Linked DNA regions of Elephas maximus indicus. The protein of the gene in region 2 binds, or shares a complex with, the protein of the main gene of each other region. Links are inferred from orthologs where the notes say so. Each region holds a gene or a part of one and is shown on either strand. Other genes may lie near its edges. The genes, in order: NAA15 and NAA50.

What was found.
Region 1: the proteins of NAA50 (region 2) and NAA15 are in contact, whole or in part, in a cryo-EM structure (PDB 6PPL), measured with the Homo sapiens proteins. The link is inferred for Elephas maximus indicus from reciprocal best matches to the Homo sapiens genes NAA50 and NAA15. Residues at the interface, in NP_079422.1 of Homo sapiens: Arg5, His14, Asn15, Lys17, Gln18, Arg21, Leu22, Val25, Phe51, Asn52, Ile54, Ala55, Leu80, Pro82, Tyr83, Leu86; in NP_476516.1 of Homo sapiens: Pro369, Pro370, Thr371, Leu374, Ser403, Thr404, Pro405, Thr406, Leu407, Ile408, Phe411, Glu433, Ala436, Leu437, Asp438, Thr439, Ala440.

What each region holds. Positions count from the first base shown.
Region 1 is NC_064823.1:3,977,953-3,985,542, forward strand, and holds the start of NAA15 (N-alpha-acetyltransferase 15, NatA auxiliary subunit), read right to left. Parts: upstream 3,001-7,590; 5' UTR 2,705-3,000; coding exon 2,651-2,704; intron 1-2,650. UniProt on the Homo sapiens protein: Auxillary subunit of N-terminal acetyltransferase complexes which display alpha (N-terminal) acetyltransferase (NAT) activity. The NAT activity may be important for vascular, hematopoietic and neuronal growth and development.
Region 2 is NC_064819.1:2,646,431-2,654,524, forward strand, and holds the start of NAA50 (N-alpha-acetyltransferase 50), read right to left. Parts: upstream 3,079-8,094; 5' UTR 2,780-3,078; coding exon 2,772-2,779; intron 1-2,771. UniProt on the Homo sapiens protein: N-alpha-acetyltransferase that acetylates the N-terminus of proteins that retain their initiating methionine. Has a broad substrate specificity: able to acetylate the initiator methionine of most peptides, except for those with a proline in second position.

The DNA.
Region 1 (7,590 bases), on a different chromosome or scaffold from region 2:
TGACGAAGCAGAAGCTTTCAGAAAAGCAAATGCTAACTATCCTTTCGGTTAGTAACATTTTCTTCATTTCTAATGTAAGAGATCAATAAGGACATTATATTCCCCTTTCTTCATTTACTGATTTTCAAATTTCTCAGAACTTCTTTATCTTTTGCATATGCCTTATCACAATAAATTTTTTTTATCACAATAAATTTTTTAGCACTTTGATTTTAGCAAGGAATTTAAAGCTTTTACCCTCCTTCACAACTAAAATTATTGCTTTAGATGCTTAATCAAAACTTGCTACCCTATGACTGGTTAAACAAACTGTGGTACATCCATATCAGAGACTACTAATCAGCAATAAAAAGGAATAAACTATCAATACTGACAACGACCTGGGTGAAGTGCAAGGCAATTGTGTTGAATAAAAAAAGGCTAATTCCAAAAAGTTATATACTGTATGATTCCTTTTATTAAACATTCTTAAAATGACAAAATTATAGAAATAGAGAACAGATTAGTGGATGCCAGAGGTTGAGGGGCAAAGGGAGTGGGAGGGAGGTGGTTGTGGTTCTAAAAAGGCAACACAGGGATTCTTGAGCCGAATGAACTGTTATATGTATCTTGATTGTGGCAGTGGTGGGTATAGAATCTACATGTGATAACACTGCACAAAACTAAATACACACAAATGAGCACAAGTAAAATTGGGGAAATCTGAATAAGATTTGGTAGATTGTATCAATGTTGTGACATTGAACTACGGTTTTGGAAGGCATCAGTATTGGGGGGAATTGGGTAAAGATTAAAAGATATTATTTCTTATGACTATGTATGAATGTACAACTATTGCAATAGTTTTATTTTAAAAAAGTGCTACCCAAACAAATGTGAAAATCTGAATACCAACTGGATATTAGGCAATACAGGGAATAATTGTTAATGGTACTACAGTTAAACAGGAAAATGTCCTTCTTAGGAGAAGTTTGCTAAAATATTATGGGATGAAGTATTATGTCTGCACCTTATATGTTTTACATATATAAGGAAAGAAAGCATATATGGCAAAATGTTTATTAAACTTAGGTAAAAGACTTATGAGTGTTCCTTGCACTCTTCCTTTTTCAGTTTGAATTTTTTCAATATAAAGAGTTGGAGGAGATTAAAGATAAATTGCTATCCTAAAAATTCCTAAAGCTATCCTAAATAGTCCTACACACCAATTAGTCAATTAGTCTTTTAAAATGTTTAAAAGTAAATAAACTGATGTTGTAAAACTATGCAACAGTTCCACCTACACTCCACTTAGTCCTAAAAGAAAAAATAAGGATTTCAAGTTAATCAAGAGTTACACAGTTTTAGACATGACTTGCTCATGTTTTTCAACATGAATTAACTAGATATATTGGGCACATGGATATTTTTGTAATAACAAAGTTCGACATAGATCACTTTTTTATTTGTAGGAAAACTGAATCCCCAAAGTACTTCCATTTTTTTCAAACAAATAAAATAAATTCTAATTATAGGAGAGAAAACTAACACTTCTATAACACACGCCCCAAATTTTAAGTCTTAAGCTGCGCAAATACAGTTAATTCTTTCATTAAAAAAATGTTTGCATGAAAAGGGCAACCCACACGCTAAAATGCCAAAAAACATGCTACAATGTATTAATTATAGCGCCAAGGCTACAGGCCACACGACAATGTTAACAGTCCTCCAAACATCATTGCGTTAAAGGTTTTTTTAAAAAGGCAAACTGAACATGTTAGAAAGGTAGGAAATATGTTTGAGCTAGCCTAACTAAACAAGCTCCATCGCAAAAGTTCTCACATTCTCTTTTCTCTGATGCTAAGTTTTCTCCCCAGCGTTACACACTTGAAAAGTCTGTGTCTAGTACTAAAGACTGATAACTTTTTACTTCCTACCGGACCGCCCCCTCGCGATGGGCCCCACCTCCCGAGGGGTGATGGGGTGCGGCTGTTTCCCGCTCGGAAACTAAGAAATAAATGCTCTTCCCTTACTCCAGAAAGGAGGGAACAAGACAGGCCAAGGAGCAGCAGTCTGAAGTGTGCAACCAACTGCTGGAGGCAGTCATTCGCGAGTCTTCCCCTCCTCCGCTGGACTCCTTCCTCCCCTCACACCTCGTTCAGTGACCCGGCCGGGCGGGGACAGGTGAATCCCAAGAGAAGGGAAGAGGGAGGGAGGGACGACCCAGGGAGCGCCGCGCTTAGGCAATGAATGAGCCGCGCTGCGTCGGCGCCACCTGTTCCTTCCACGGATGCCCCGGCCTGGTGGCAGGGCTCCCGCACCACCCGGGCCGCGGCTCCTGTCCGTGCCGCCCGCTGCCCAGCTCCAGGCCGGGCGGCGCCGATCTGCGCCCGCAGCCGAGGAAAGCCGGCACTCTAGAAGCCGGTAGGTCGGGCCTAGTCTAGAACCAGGGCCCCCGAAGCGAAGGGACGACAGGGTAGCCTGTGGTGCCAGCGCGGGGGCCCAAGTGGGATCCAGAGGGAGGCAACGAGGGAGTGCCTTCGGTCGGACTAGGAGTCCGAAGGCGGAGTCCCGACGGGGTGGCTCGGTGCCCGCCGGGCCGATGTTAGGAGTGACAGGGCCGGGTTCGAGCTAAACCCTACCCACTGCTTGTCCGGAGCCTCGCACTTACCAAGATCCGCTTGAAGAGCGCGTTCTCCTTGGGCGGGAGGCTCACGGCCGGCATCGTTCCGGCTCCTCCCGCTGCTCCCGCCACCACCCGGCTCGGTCAGGCTGTTTGTCCGACCGCCGCCGCCGCCGCCGTTCCTTGGTTGCTTCAGCCTAGAATACCACGATCCGCCGCCGCCCCTAAGCCTTGGGTATCGCCACGTCGCCCTAACCGGACACCCCTTTCCCGTCGCTGTCTTTTTCCTTTTCTCACTTAACGCTGCTGCCGCCTCCCCCCGCCCCACGGGTCTCTGTCGGCGGTTCACGTGGTAACTGAACAGACCGACAGAGGCAGCCAAAATGGCGGACGCAGAGGGCTTTCCCACCCGGGTCACGCCTCCTAGCACGCAGGCGCGATGACCTCCTTGCCCCACCTCTTCTGCCCTGGAGCTTGCCGGGAAACCTGGACGCCGGCCTGAGGGCGGGGGGCCCGAGGGTCGCCGCGGGCTCAGCACGTCCTGTTGGTGCCGAATGTCCGGACGAGCCGGGGGAGAGAAGGGCAGGGGCTAACTCCGGTTGCGACCGCCTTCACATGAAAAATAGCCATTCTGCACTAGGTTGGCCTCTCATTCGTTAGGTAGACTCTCCCAGACTGTGGGATCCGAATGTGAGCCGTAAGTGCTAGCTAAAACGCAGGTGTTTAAGAAGAGCTGTGGACGTGAAAGTGCATATTTAAGGAGCACGGACGGAGGGGAAATGGAGAAGGCGTCAACGCAGTGGGACTTGTGAACAGATGTCAAGGGAAAGGGGCTTAAGTAGAGTCTGAAGGGTGTGAAAGAGCTTGACTGATTAAATGAGTATGGTTGATTTGGCGAATATTGCTTAAGATGAGCCTAGAGAGGTAGTTAGCCAGATCCTACGTGCCATATTTGCTCTTTCAAAGGAGCTTCTGAACGTTAAAAACCAAAAAAATCAAACCCGTTGCCCTCGAGTCGACTCCGACTCAGCGATCTTGAAGTTGATAGCAGGTGTTTTTATTGCACGTTGAGGCCATACAGTGCAGTGTTGGCGGACTGTATGCGGTACTTTGGGTAGTAGAGAGCTCAGCGACATTGACTCCTCTGGAACTGGCTGGCCTCAAGCTAGTGCCGAGTTGAACTCCTCACCACCAGAATCCTGATGAGTATCTGGCAAGGATACTAGAGAGCAGAACTGCAGGGGCAAGGTCAGACTAAAGCAAACAAACAAAAAAACAACCCCCTTGCCATGGAGTCAATTCAAACAGCATAGAGTGGAACTGCTCCCATAAGGTTTACAAGGAGCACCTACCTGGTGGATTTGACCTGCTAACTTTTTGGTTAGCAGCCTTAAGTCTTAACCACTACGCCACCAGTATTAACGAGGTCAGATTAGATACTGAAAAAAACTGCTCCCATAAGGTTTACAAGGAGCACCTACCTGGTGGATTTGACCTGCTAACTTTTTGGTTAGCAGCCTTAAGTCTTAACCACTACGCCACCAGTATTAACGAGGTCAGATTAGATACTGAATAGGATCCCTTTTATTGATTCTATATAAGCAATGTGTAGATGCCATTTCATGAACAACTGGCAGTAAAATATTGATCAAAGTGGCATTTCTTTGGTTATTTCCATTTTTTTCACATCATTTTTACCCTTGGCTTTTGATTATCTTTTTCCAAATCCTGAATTTGATCTATAGCTTTCTTTGCATCAAGACAATGAAAAATACATGTAGTGGTTTTGCCTTTTATTTATTTACATAGACCTGTTTTCAACTTGGGAACCCTGGTGGTATAGTGGTTATGTGGTATGGCTGCTAGCCAAAAGGTGGGTAGTTTGAATCCACCAGGTGCTCTTTAGGAACTTTATGGGGCAGTTCTACTTTGCCCCATAGGGTCGCTATGAGTCCGAATCAACTTGACGGCAACGGGTTTGGTGTTTTGGGTTTTAACCTTGGAGTCCTGGTGGCGCAGTGATTAAGAGCTGAGCTGCTAACTAAATGGTGATCAGTTTGGTGGTTCGAATCCACCAGCCGTTCCTTGGAAACCCTATTAGGCAGTTCTGCTCTGTCCTCTAGGGTCGCTGAGTTGGAATCCACTCGTCTGCAACGGGTTTGGTTTGGATTTTCAATTTGCTCTAATCTTCCCTTGAAGGTGTGAGTTGAGTAAGAATATGGGACTAAAACTTGGGTTTTCTAGCTGCTATCTCAAATGCCCTCTCCCTTTGCCTGGGTCATAGGATTTTAACATTCAAATCGTGGGATTTCTCTGAATTTTGTCATTTCTCTTCAAAAGTTTCATTAAGAAGATTAAATCTACACAAACCATGTTTGAGTTTTAGAATATGGCCAGTTTGTGTTTTGTTCTGAGGATTTTTTTTTTTTTTACATAAATGGAATCATACTATACATATTTACCCTCAACTTTTTTTATTTTTTGTTCTGGGCTCTTGAGTTGTGAGCTCCAGTTCACTTTGATGGGGTTGAGGAAGGGGTTGCATTATGCTGGGGGCTCTTATGGGGGAACGAAGTAGTCACTAACTGGTCTGTAGGAGCCTGAGTGTGGCACATACAGTTAAATGCTCAACTGCTAACCAAAAGATTGGCAGTTTAAACCCACCCAGAGGTGCCTTGGAAGACAAACCTGGTGATGTGCTCCCAAAAGTCACAGCCTTGAAAACCCTATGGAGCCATTCCACTCTGCACACATGGGATTGCCATGAGTTAGAATCAACTAGCTGGCAACGAACAACAACTGCTCTGGCAGCTCCTTGGAAGCCCCTCTTTCCCTGTTTCCTTTTCTTGGCTCCTCTCCCTCCCATGTCCCATCTTGTCCTGGCATTTATTAAGTGATAAAGAGCCCTGGTCGCTCAATGGTTAAGCACTTGGCTGTAAACTGAAAGGTCAGCGGTTCACTCTGGTGGGAGAAAAGACCTGGCGATCTGCTCCCATAAAGGTAACAGCATAGGAAACCCTGCGGGTCAGTTGTACTCTTGTTATATAGGGCCGCTATTGAATTGAATAGATGACACACAACACCAATTTAGTGATAAGCTGCAAACTTCACTGCCCCCAAGAGAACTTTCAGTCAAATGTATCTGAATTATTATAAGTTAGAAAAATGTTTCAACTACAGGTGATAATTTTAGCTTAGCTACTAATTTGGGTTTCCAAATCTCTGGCTTCATATCCAAAAATTCTTACACCAATATTACTTGCTATGTTTTTTGAAATTTCTCCTGTATAATATTTTCCCCTTTGTAGGGAGAGAATTCCTGGCCTTTGAAACAAACTGTAGTTTCTACCAGAAGTTGAGTACCTGAATAGATGAGTCAGTAATACAGTTTGGCAAATGTTATTCTTTTTGGATGATAATAGCAATTTTTAGGACCAGATTAGAATGCTAATCTGGTTCAACATTTATCTGATTCATATTCTAGTTAAAATGCGCCCACAGATAATCTCAGCCTGACCACACAGTCTAGTGACTTGATAGCCTGCAATCAACAATAAATATCTACTCTGATCACCACTGTTTGACAAATGGAAATCCCATTTAACTTGAGTTATGCTGTGAATGATATTATGTAGGAAGTTAACATATCCAAGGCCAAATGATTAGTTCTTTCATCCCACCCCGTGTATTTGCATATCACTCTTGTCAAAATCCCAGAGCCCTGGTGGCACAGTGGTTAAGAGCTCAGCAGTTAACCAAAAGGTTGGCAGTTGTATCCACTAGCTACTCCTTGGAAACCCTACAGGGCAGTTCTCCTCTATCCTTTAGGGTCACTATGACTATGAGTCGGAATTGACTTGATGGCAGCAGGTTTTATGGTCAAAATGCCTCTTCCAAATAAAAAAATCATTTACCTTGCAAGCTTTAATTCTACAAAATTAATACACAGTGTATAACTTTTCCACTGAAGAAAAACCTTCATATATGTAAGATGCTCTCAGTTGACACTTTTACGGCCTAATTATTTAAATTTTAGAGAAAAACAATGTCAAAGAAATGTATTTGCCAGTAGGATTTAACAAATATTAACATTTCGCTATTACTTCATCTTTTTTTTAGTTGTATATACATTGGGAGCTCCATACTTCTCAGAGCCTGATTTTGATCTGTATTAGTTTCATGAATCATAAATCAATAAACAATGTATATAGTGGTTTTGTACTTTTTTTTTTTTTAACTCTGCATGTGGTACTGTTTTCAATTCTTGCCCTTTAAAACTCTCCCTGGGAAGTGTGAGCCGAGTAGGATGTTTCCCAGCAGAAAAATAGGGACTAAACTTGGGTTTTCTAGCTGCAAAAAAAAAAACAAAAAAAATTTTTTTTAACTCAATGCTCTCTGCCTTTGCCTAGGTCATAAATAAGGTTATAACATTCAAATCCTAGAGATGTTTAAACAAATGTCATGAAGCAACTTCTGCCAAAATACAGCTATTAGTTCCTGACTGGAATTGCTTCATTAGGACTCTTTTCAAGATGGAGTGTCATGTACAGCTGCCTGCTCCAAGTGTAGGGTTCCATCAGCTCTAACATGCTGAGAGAAAGGCAGTCATACTTCATCACTTTCCAAAAATATACACTAGTAAAAGGATATAGGGACCAAAGCTCTAAAAAAGAACAAAACAGTCTTTACCAACAGCAGTACTGAAATTAGTAATTTGCTTTCTCGTTCTGTGTACTCTGAGTAACCACGGCTTTTGTTTCAACTTGTTGGATAATAGCGAAAGCTTTGTTAGGACAAGCTCATGAAGGATGGTGTAAAAAGGATATACAGCTGATAGGTTGCTGAGTGGACAAGAAGCCAAGAAGTTGAGAAGCAACCACTGACTCAGCGCATTAGTTGGGTTGTTTGCTTATTTGAGCATGAGTCCTAGAGGCTCAAACTAGATTACAAAACTGTAAGGTGAGTCACAAGTTAGCAATCCAGGTGGC
Region 2 (8,094 bases):
AAGCCTAGGAACTGGGCTTAAGGACTCTCCACGTCAAGTAGAGCTTCTGTCCTGAGGTACAGGATTCAGTGACTATGAGTTTCCTCTAAATTTGGCCAGTTACTCGTTTTGGGGGATCTGGCCCATCAGACTAGCAGGCTCTTACACCTAAGTATCCGTTTTAAATAACAGAACAATTGCTTTGCGGGTTTATATTAATTGAAAATAGAATATGAATAATACTGTTTCGTCACATCTATTGCCAAGTTAAAACCCAAAAACCCAGTGCCGTCGAGTTGATTCCATTGCCAAGTTAGGTATCAAAAATAATGTTATACCCTAGCGAGTCTGAGATAGAGCAAAGAATTTGTATCTAAACATTCAGAATGACTTCTTAGAGTCCTCCTTTTACTAATCTGTGGCAGTCTCACGCTGGGAACTCTCTGGCCCCATTTTAATTAACAGAAGATAAATATGTCTGGCAATGAGAATACAAAAACGAATGAGACAGCACCCACACTCAAAATGCCCAGTTTACTAAGAAAAACAAATTCTCCCAACGTTATTGTGGATCATACATAAAACAGCCTAACTTCGTAGATCATGATTCAAGGGCAGCCAACATTTCCTATGCCCCTCAATTAGTTTCCTGATTAGAACTCTTTACCACGGTGTGTGAGAGACAGGTACCCCTTGCTTTTCAAAAGTTTGCTTTACGCCACTTTGCTTTTATGAAAGACCTTACTTAGCACCTGTCTTCATTCACTTAATGAAATGTGAAGACATTTTCGCTTTTCCAAAAAAAGGCGAAAAGCAGAAGCAGCGTTCTAAGTTTGTCTTGCACTGCCCAGCCACATCCAATGGAATGCCTGGTGCGGTATAAACGTACCATTCACAGCGAGATCCCATCCTCGACTTGCCGCTTGTGCATTTCTCTAAGTGTAGGGCACATCCTTCCACACGTGCGGTTAGTACAAATCCAGCTCTTCTGGGGGATCTGAACCCCAGCCCTTCAACCCAGCCCCGTGTGCCATTGCTAGCTAGGATTAAGAGGGCTCCCATCACCAGCACCACCTCAGCCTTCCAGGGTGCTTGCTGTCTTCCCAGTCTGGTGTACACGTCACTTCTGCTGTATACAGGCTGTGTATTTATTTATCACATCATTCCCGCTTTACTGCGTGTTACTGCCATTTTAGATTCTACATGTTACTAGGTACGATCTGGTAGGTTATTCTTTGGGTCTGGGAACGCTCAAAAACTTTTTCTCCATAAATTAATGAGAACTGCTCCTTTGCTTTATGCCTTTTCGGCTTATGAAAAGTTTCCTGGGAATGCTCCCCTTCTCGAGAGCTGGAAAACCTGTAATGCAGGGCCTGTGACAATTTCTTCATGATGTCCAAGCTTTAAAGATTTTATACGAGATTCCTTAGAAGACAGACATTTACAGTCATTCCTCCAACGGCTCCTGAACAGTCTGAAAAGCTCCACTAATGCAAAACACATTACAATTCTTTCACTGATTTGCTCCGAGAAAAAATAAACTCAGGCATCCCGGGAAGCTTTTCACACTTACAAACTTCTCTTTCTTCCTCTGAGGAGGGTAGAGAGGGCCAGCTCCGAAACAGCGAATCTAGACCACGTTTCCAAACAGGCACACTATTATGCAATTGGTATTTTTTAACAGCATAAAACTTAATGGAGGAGACATTTTATCCAACGAGAGAAAGTGGAGAACCAAAATAACCCTGAGTTTTATCTGAGAGAGAAAAACTGTAGAAGGACAGGAACGGAAAACACATCAGCTTGGCCAACCACCTGAAGAGCGCACCATAACCCAGGACCCCCCCTCCCCCGCAGAGGCCAAAGTGAACTCCTGAAGCAACAGCCCAGGACCCCCCCAGCGGGGGCCACAGTGAACCCCCAGCAGAGACCACAGTGAACGCCTGAAGGAACCCAGGACCCCACCCCGCACGGCCCACAGCGAACTCCTGAAGCAACAGCCCAGGACCCCCACCCCCAAGCAGGGGCCACAGTGAACTCCTGAAGCAACAGCCCAGGACCCCCCCCCCCGCCAAGCACGGGCCACAGTGAACCCCCAGCAGGGACCACAGTGAACTCCTGAAGGAACAACCCAGAACCCCCCCCACAGCAGGGACCACAGTGAACTCCTGAAGCCACAGCCCAGGACCCCCCCCCCCAGCAAGGGCCACAGTGAACTCCTGAAGCAACAGCCCAGGACCCCCCCCAGCAGGGGCCACAGTGAACCCCCAGCAGGGACCGCAGTGGACTCCTGAAGCCACAGCCCCACCTGCTGGCCAACCCCGCTTCCTGAAGCACCTCTGCACCCCAAGTCTGCCCGGCTTGCGCGCCTCCCCCGCCTCCCCTCGCGCTGACCCAGCCCAAATCCAGTTGAGTCACCAGGTCTTCATTCTCGCCTCCACGCTTCTTACTCCCATGCCCCCTCCCTCCAGAAGGTTCTGCGCGCCTCTCAGGTGCGGATAAACGCACGAGGTGTCCGGGACCAGCCCGGATACGGAGGACGATCCACCAGCCACCTGGATCGGCGCGTCCGGCCCAGCCCGGCGGCTCGGCAGTCCGCTCCGGGTGAGGGGGCCGCGGCGCCCCACGACCCCTTCTCCCTGCTGCCCCGCCAAGCCACACTCGTCCTCCGGGCCGAGGGCCTGGGCCCCCGCGGCTTCCCCCGCCGACTCCCGAGCCCGCCAACACGGAGAACCTTGCCTCCGCCCCCCGGCGGCGCCCCGAGGCCCGGCCTCCGCCGCTACCTTCCTCACCCTTTCATCTTCCCCGCCTGCTGAGGCCGTCGTTACCGCCGACGCCAACACCGCCGCCGTCGCCGCCGCCCTGAGCTCTCCGCGCCCTCGGCTCGGCCACTCAAGCCCACCAGCCTGCCTCCTCGCCTGAGGCAGGGAGCTGAGCGGGTGACGGAGGCCGCGAGAGGCGACCGCGGCCCTGGGTCTGCCGCCGCCGCCGCGCCGGGCCGCTGCTCCTCCGCACGTGCACACCGGGCGCTCGGCTCCAGCCCGCCGCCGCCAGCCAGACCCGCCGTCGCGCCGTGACCTTTCACCCCGCCCCTCGGCGCGCAGGCGCGCTCACAGCCCTCGCGCAGGCGCGCTCACCGCCTCGCGCGCAGCCGCACCGCGCGCCGCCGCGCACCCAGAACCCCTCGCGGGCCCTCCATCTTTCGACTGGGCTACGCCTTCTTACGTCATTCTCCCCCGCCCACTCCTTACGCCGCTCTTTGTGGGCTTGGCCTGTAGGCCCGGGCGGTCAAATCCAGATTTTTCCACCTCTCCCTCGCCTCTCCCGCTTCCACAAGCTCGCTCTTCCCCGACCCTGTTCTCAATGGGTAGTCTCCGGAGTGACCTTCAAATGCCCCTGTCTCCTAATGGGATTTTATCAGGCGGTTCTAATAAATGTAAAGAAGTCCGTGGGGAAGCTTAAGTAAATGAGGCGCTTGTAAAACAAGGAAACGTAATTAACAAGCGGCCAGATAACTTGGCATCCACCCAGCACTCTCGTTTCGAAATCACGTGATTGGCTCAAACCTCGCGGCCTGGGATTTTACCGGCGGGCCCCAGAAGGACGGAACTCCATCGCCATTTCCGGTCCCGAGATCGTGGCGTGACGTCACTTCCTTGGCAATGCCCTTTAACCCGTGCCACCCAGGCTTCCGCCTTTGCACTTACAACACGATATTACTGAAAATTTTTGTTTATTATTATTTTTTTTAATCGCAAGAAAAGTCACATTCAAACAATCTGCAAAAATACAGGCCTCCGAGCTGCGGCGCTCGCGGGTGGGGGCGACGGGGCGGGGCTTGGGTCACGTGACGGGCTAGCCCCGCCCCGCTCTGCAGCTGAAGACTTCCCCTCCCGCAGTGACAGAGCCCGCGGGTCGGTGGTCGGCACTGGTCTGTGCGCCTCGGGCCCGGCAGGTGAGTGGTGACGGGTAACGGGCGACTAGGTGGGAAGGAAGGAGGGAGAAGGGGAGCGCGAACGGCAGCCTTCGGTGCCCGGGGCTTTTTTCCGCGCTGTCACCCCTGCTCCGCCAGCTCTCCTGATCCCCTCTGTCCACTGTGGCCGCCCCCACTACCTGGGGTTGCCATGTCCACCTTGCCCGGGGTTGAGGATGAGGGCAGCCTTAGGGTTTCTTATCGGGAGTCCTCGAGGCTTCTGGCACTGGGATTGCTTCAGCCGTTCTTCGGGGTCTGCTGTAGCCGCCGCGGGTCCCAGGACCCAAAACCCAGCATTGGGCGAAGGTCTTGAATCGGCTTTACCCTCAGCTGGCTAAGAGAGGAAGTAGGAGAAGCCCTGGAGGCAGAGGCGTCTCCGGTGAGACCGGCTTGGGAGGGGATGTCACTGGTATGGCTCTCAACTGCGGAGTCACTGAAGACCCTGCCTTTTGAATGTGATTTCTCTGTAATTTTGAGGCTTTTATCTGCCATCCCTGCGGGAGAGGTTCTATAGGTTTTCACGTGCTTTGGGTGGGACTGGAAGGATAAAAGCAAGTTTTGATCTTTCTCTTCTCTGATTTTATGGTGCAGGTAGGGAGGGAGGACGGTTAAAAAAAAAGATACATTAGTTTCAAAACAGGAGCCCTGGTGGCGCAGTGGTTAAGTGCTCGGCTGTTAACCGAAAGCCCTGCTGCAGCTCAAACCCACCAGCCCCTTAGCAGGAGCAAGATGTGATATTTAGTCTGCTTCCGTAAAGATGTACAGCCTTGGAAATCCTCCGGGGCGGTTGTACCCTGTCCTGTAGGGTTGCTGTGAGCCGGTATCGACCGGACCGGTAATGGGTAGCCTCAAAAGGAGATGATGGTAATGCGGCAGTCTCAATTGAACGGAGAAGTGTTGAAAGATGGTGTTGCAACGTCGTGGTGTGTAGGAAGCTCACGCCAGCCTATGGGAAAAGGTTTCCCTGGAAGGGGAACCTTCCGAAACTGGTGGGGCTGAAAATGGAATATAATTAAACCAAGCTTATTTGACTGTGGACTTAAAGGTAGGAAGGTTAAGTCAAGATGTTGCTGACTGCGTTTTACTTGCCTTTTGACATCTTTCTCTTTTGTCATTTGTCCCTGAAATTCTGTATAATTGCTACTCCTCATCAATTCCTTGACCAGTGTTGTGGTCATTTTAATGAAGTAACCCTTGTATCCTTTCTTAGCTTTCCCCATATGTACAACTCGAGGTGACCTGGTCAGGTTTTAATAATGGTATTTTGTGAAAATACAGGAATTGTTTTGCCTAGGTGTTTGCCCAACCAGCGTACTCCCATTTCACATGGAATGTCGTAGGCAATGTTTTGTCCCCAAACACTGTGCTTCAGGGAACAGTGCTTTTCAGTTTGAGGTTAAAAGCCTTTATTTGTCCTGCAAACTCAGAAAGCGCCTTGGTCCTTTTAAATCGACAGGCCTTCGGAAAACTACAAGTTTAATTTTTTTTAACTGACACTGTTTCTTTGTCTGAAAAATCCATATTCTCAGTTAAATCCGGTAGCTTTCAAACCAATGTAAGTGACTCAAAGGACAGCTGAAAAGTGAGGAGGGGCAGAGTCCTTGTGTGGTGGATGTGACTGACCCGATTTTTGTTTTTCTGTAACTTCCAAGTTCTCTGCCATAAACTGGTCTTATTTTGTTAAGAGCAACAAAAAGTTAATTAAAATTTTTGAATAATAGCAATTTCATAAAATGTTGTTAGAGTAAGTTCAAAATAGAAAAGCTCCTTACTAGAAAACATAACCTTGAAGATCTTACTTTTTTCTCCTGGTTAAGGAGCCCTGGTGGTGCAGTGGTTAGGCACTCAGGCTAGCCACCAGCCTGGTTAGCCACCAGGGCTCCTGCATAAAGATGACGGCCCTGGAAACCTTACTCTGTCCTGTAGGGTCACAATGAGTCAGAATTTGACTCTATAGCACCAGATTTTCTCCAAGTTATAAAGAAGACCTCTGTTGTCCCTTGGGTATATACAATTCTAGCATTTTGTAGTTGGCACCTGTATTGGACAATAGCATTTGTCTACTGATATGCTTAGGTAGCTGTGCCTGCTGTTTACACTCAATTAATCTCTGTGGTGGTTAGTGGCCATCAAGCCTGTTCTGACTCATGGCGACCCATGCGTGCAGAGTAGAATTGCTCCATAGGGTTTTCAAGGCTGTGACCACTCAGAAGCAGATTGCCAGGGACTCCTAGCCATGCTTGCTACCAGTGTATAGTTTTATCCGTTAATTTCTTGCAGATTGAGACTTCCCTGATCTGTAGAGGACAGAAAAGAATAAAGTGTTACTTTATTGCTCAGGTGACATTCCACCAAGTGAAGAGAATTCCTTAGGTGGTCTGGAAGGTTCAAACCAGTCCTGTCTGGATGAGTCCAAAACGGGAGAGAGAAAATCAGCTAAAACCTTTGAGTACTAGAGGAAGAAAATGTATCAATATGAAAGAGGTTGAATGAGTCTGCAATTTTACTTCACAATTCCCCAAATTTTAGGGAACTTATGAAAGTAATGGAGCCCTAGTGGCACAGTGATTAAGTGCTTGGCTGCTAATCTAAATGTCAGCAGTTCGAACCCACCAGCTACTCAGCAGGAGAAAAGATGTGGCAATCTGCTTCCATAAAGATTACAGCCTTGGAAACCCTATGGGGCAGCTCTACTCTGTCCTGTAGGGTTGTTATGAGTTGGAATCAACTTGACGGCAATAGGTTTCATTTTTTGGTTTTATGAAAGCAGTAATATAAACCACTAAAGAACCTGGGGAGTAGCAGTGGGAATCGGTGAGTAAGTTGTTGCTAAGGTTGAATGTGAAAAAGAGTTTTTGACGTACACAGTTGACGCACACACACAAACATACTAGTCATTTGGAGCTTGGAAGACATTTCTGAGGCTTAGCTTGTGAGTGTTACACACAGAAATCTTCACGTTCATTAGAAACGGGAATTGTGCTGCAGTCTGACATTAAATGGCACACAGGAGTTTAATAACTCTTGTGGTCTTACTCTGAAGTCTGGAATTTCACTGTCTTTGGGAATTACCACCACCAAGAATGCTGTTCCCACCCCCGTGGGCAGAGCTATTCACTAAGCCCTATAGACTGCTATGTAGTGTTTTCTGTTCCTCTATAATAGCTTAACTGGGCCGTTCCTCACTAAACCATAAAGCGCCTAAGTGTTCCAGGATAGTGTCTTTACTTTTGTGACTTTAGCACCAGAATGCTAACGTACCTGATCAAAAAAAAAAAGAAAAGCTAAACCTGTTGCCCTTGAGTCGATTTTGACTCCTGGTAGGTAACTACTTGTATGTCAGAGGAGAACTGCACTCCATAGGGTTTTCAGCAGCTGGAAGTAAATTGTTAGGCCTTTCCTCTCAATGCGGCTGGGTGGATTTGAACCATGGACCTTTTAGTTAGTAGCCCAGGGCAAACCATTGGCGCCACCCAGGGACCTGACAGGTACTCAGTGAATTGTTCATTGAACGAGTGTTGGAGAGTTGGACAAGGAGATTAAACCATTTTAGCACTTGGCAGATCATAGCTCCTTCTAAGATTGTACAGTAGGTAATTAGCCTTCAAATAAAAATTAGTAATAATGATCAATCCTCAAATGGACTTTATTCATGCAGTGACGAATTTTCTTGTTTTGACACCATATATGTTTATTAATATAGGTGGTTATCATCCAGGTATGGGAAGGAAGGGAAGAGGACTGAGTTGGACTCAATGAAGAAAGTGACTCTGAACATGGTACAAGTGTTCTAATACTTGCCTAGAAGATAATCTTCACTCAGCTTTAGTTACAGGTCCTTTTAAGTGAAGTTGGGGGTGAGGCCCTACTTCTCAAGGGTATTGTGAGTTCAAGACAGACCTCTTATAATCTGTGTGAAACTAAGTTCTGCAAATATAAAGCAACAGTGTGCAGACTTTACCAGAATGGATTTCCCAGCGGGATAGACCTGGGTTCAGTTTCTGGCCCTACCACTTATTAGCTATATGATCCTGGACGGTTAGCTTAAGGTTAAGTTTCCTCATGTGTAAAATCTACCCCAGAGGGCCAGTAAATAAGATCATGAATGGAGGATGCTTAGTATATAACTTTGTAAAAAAAAA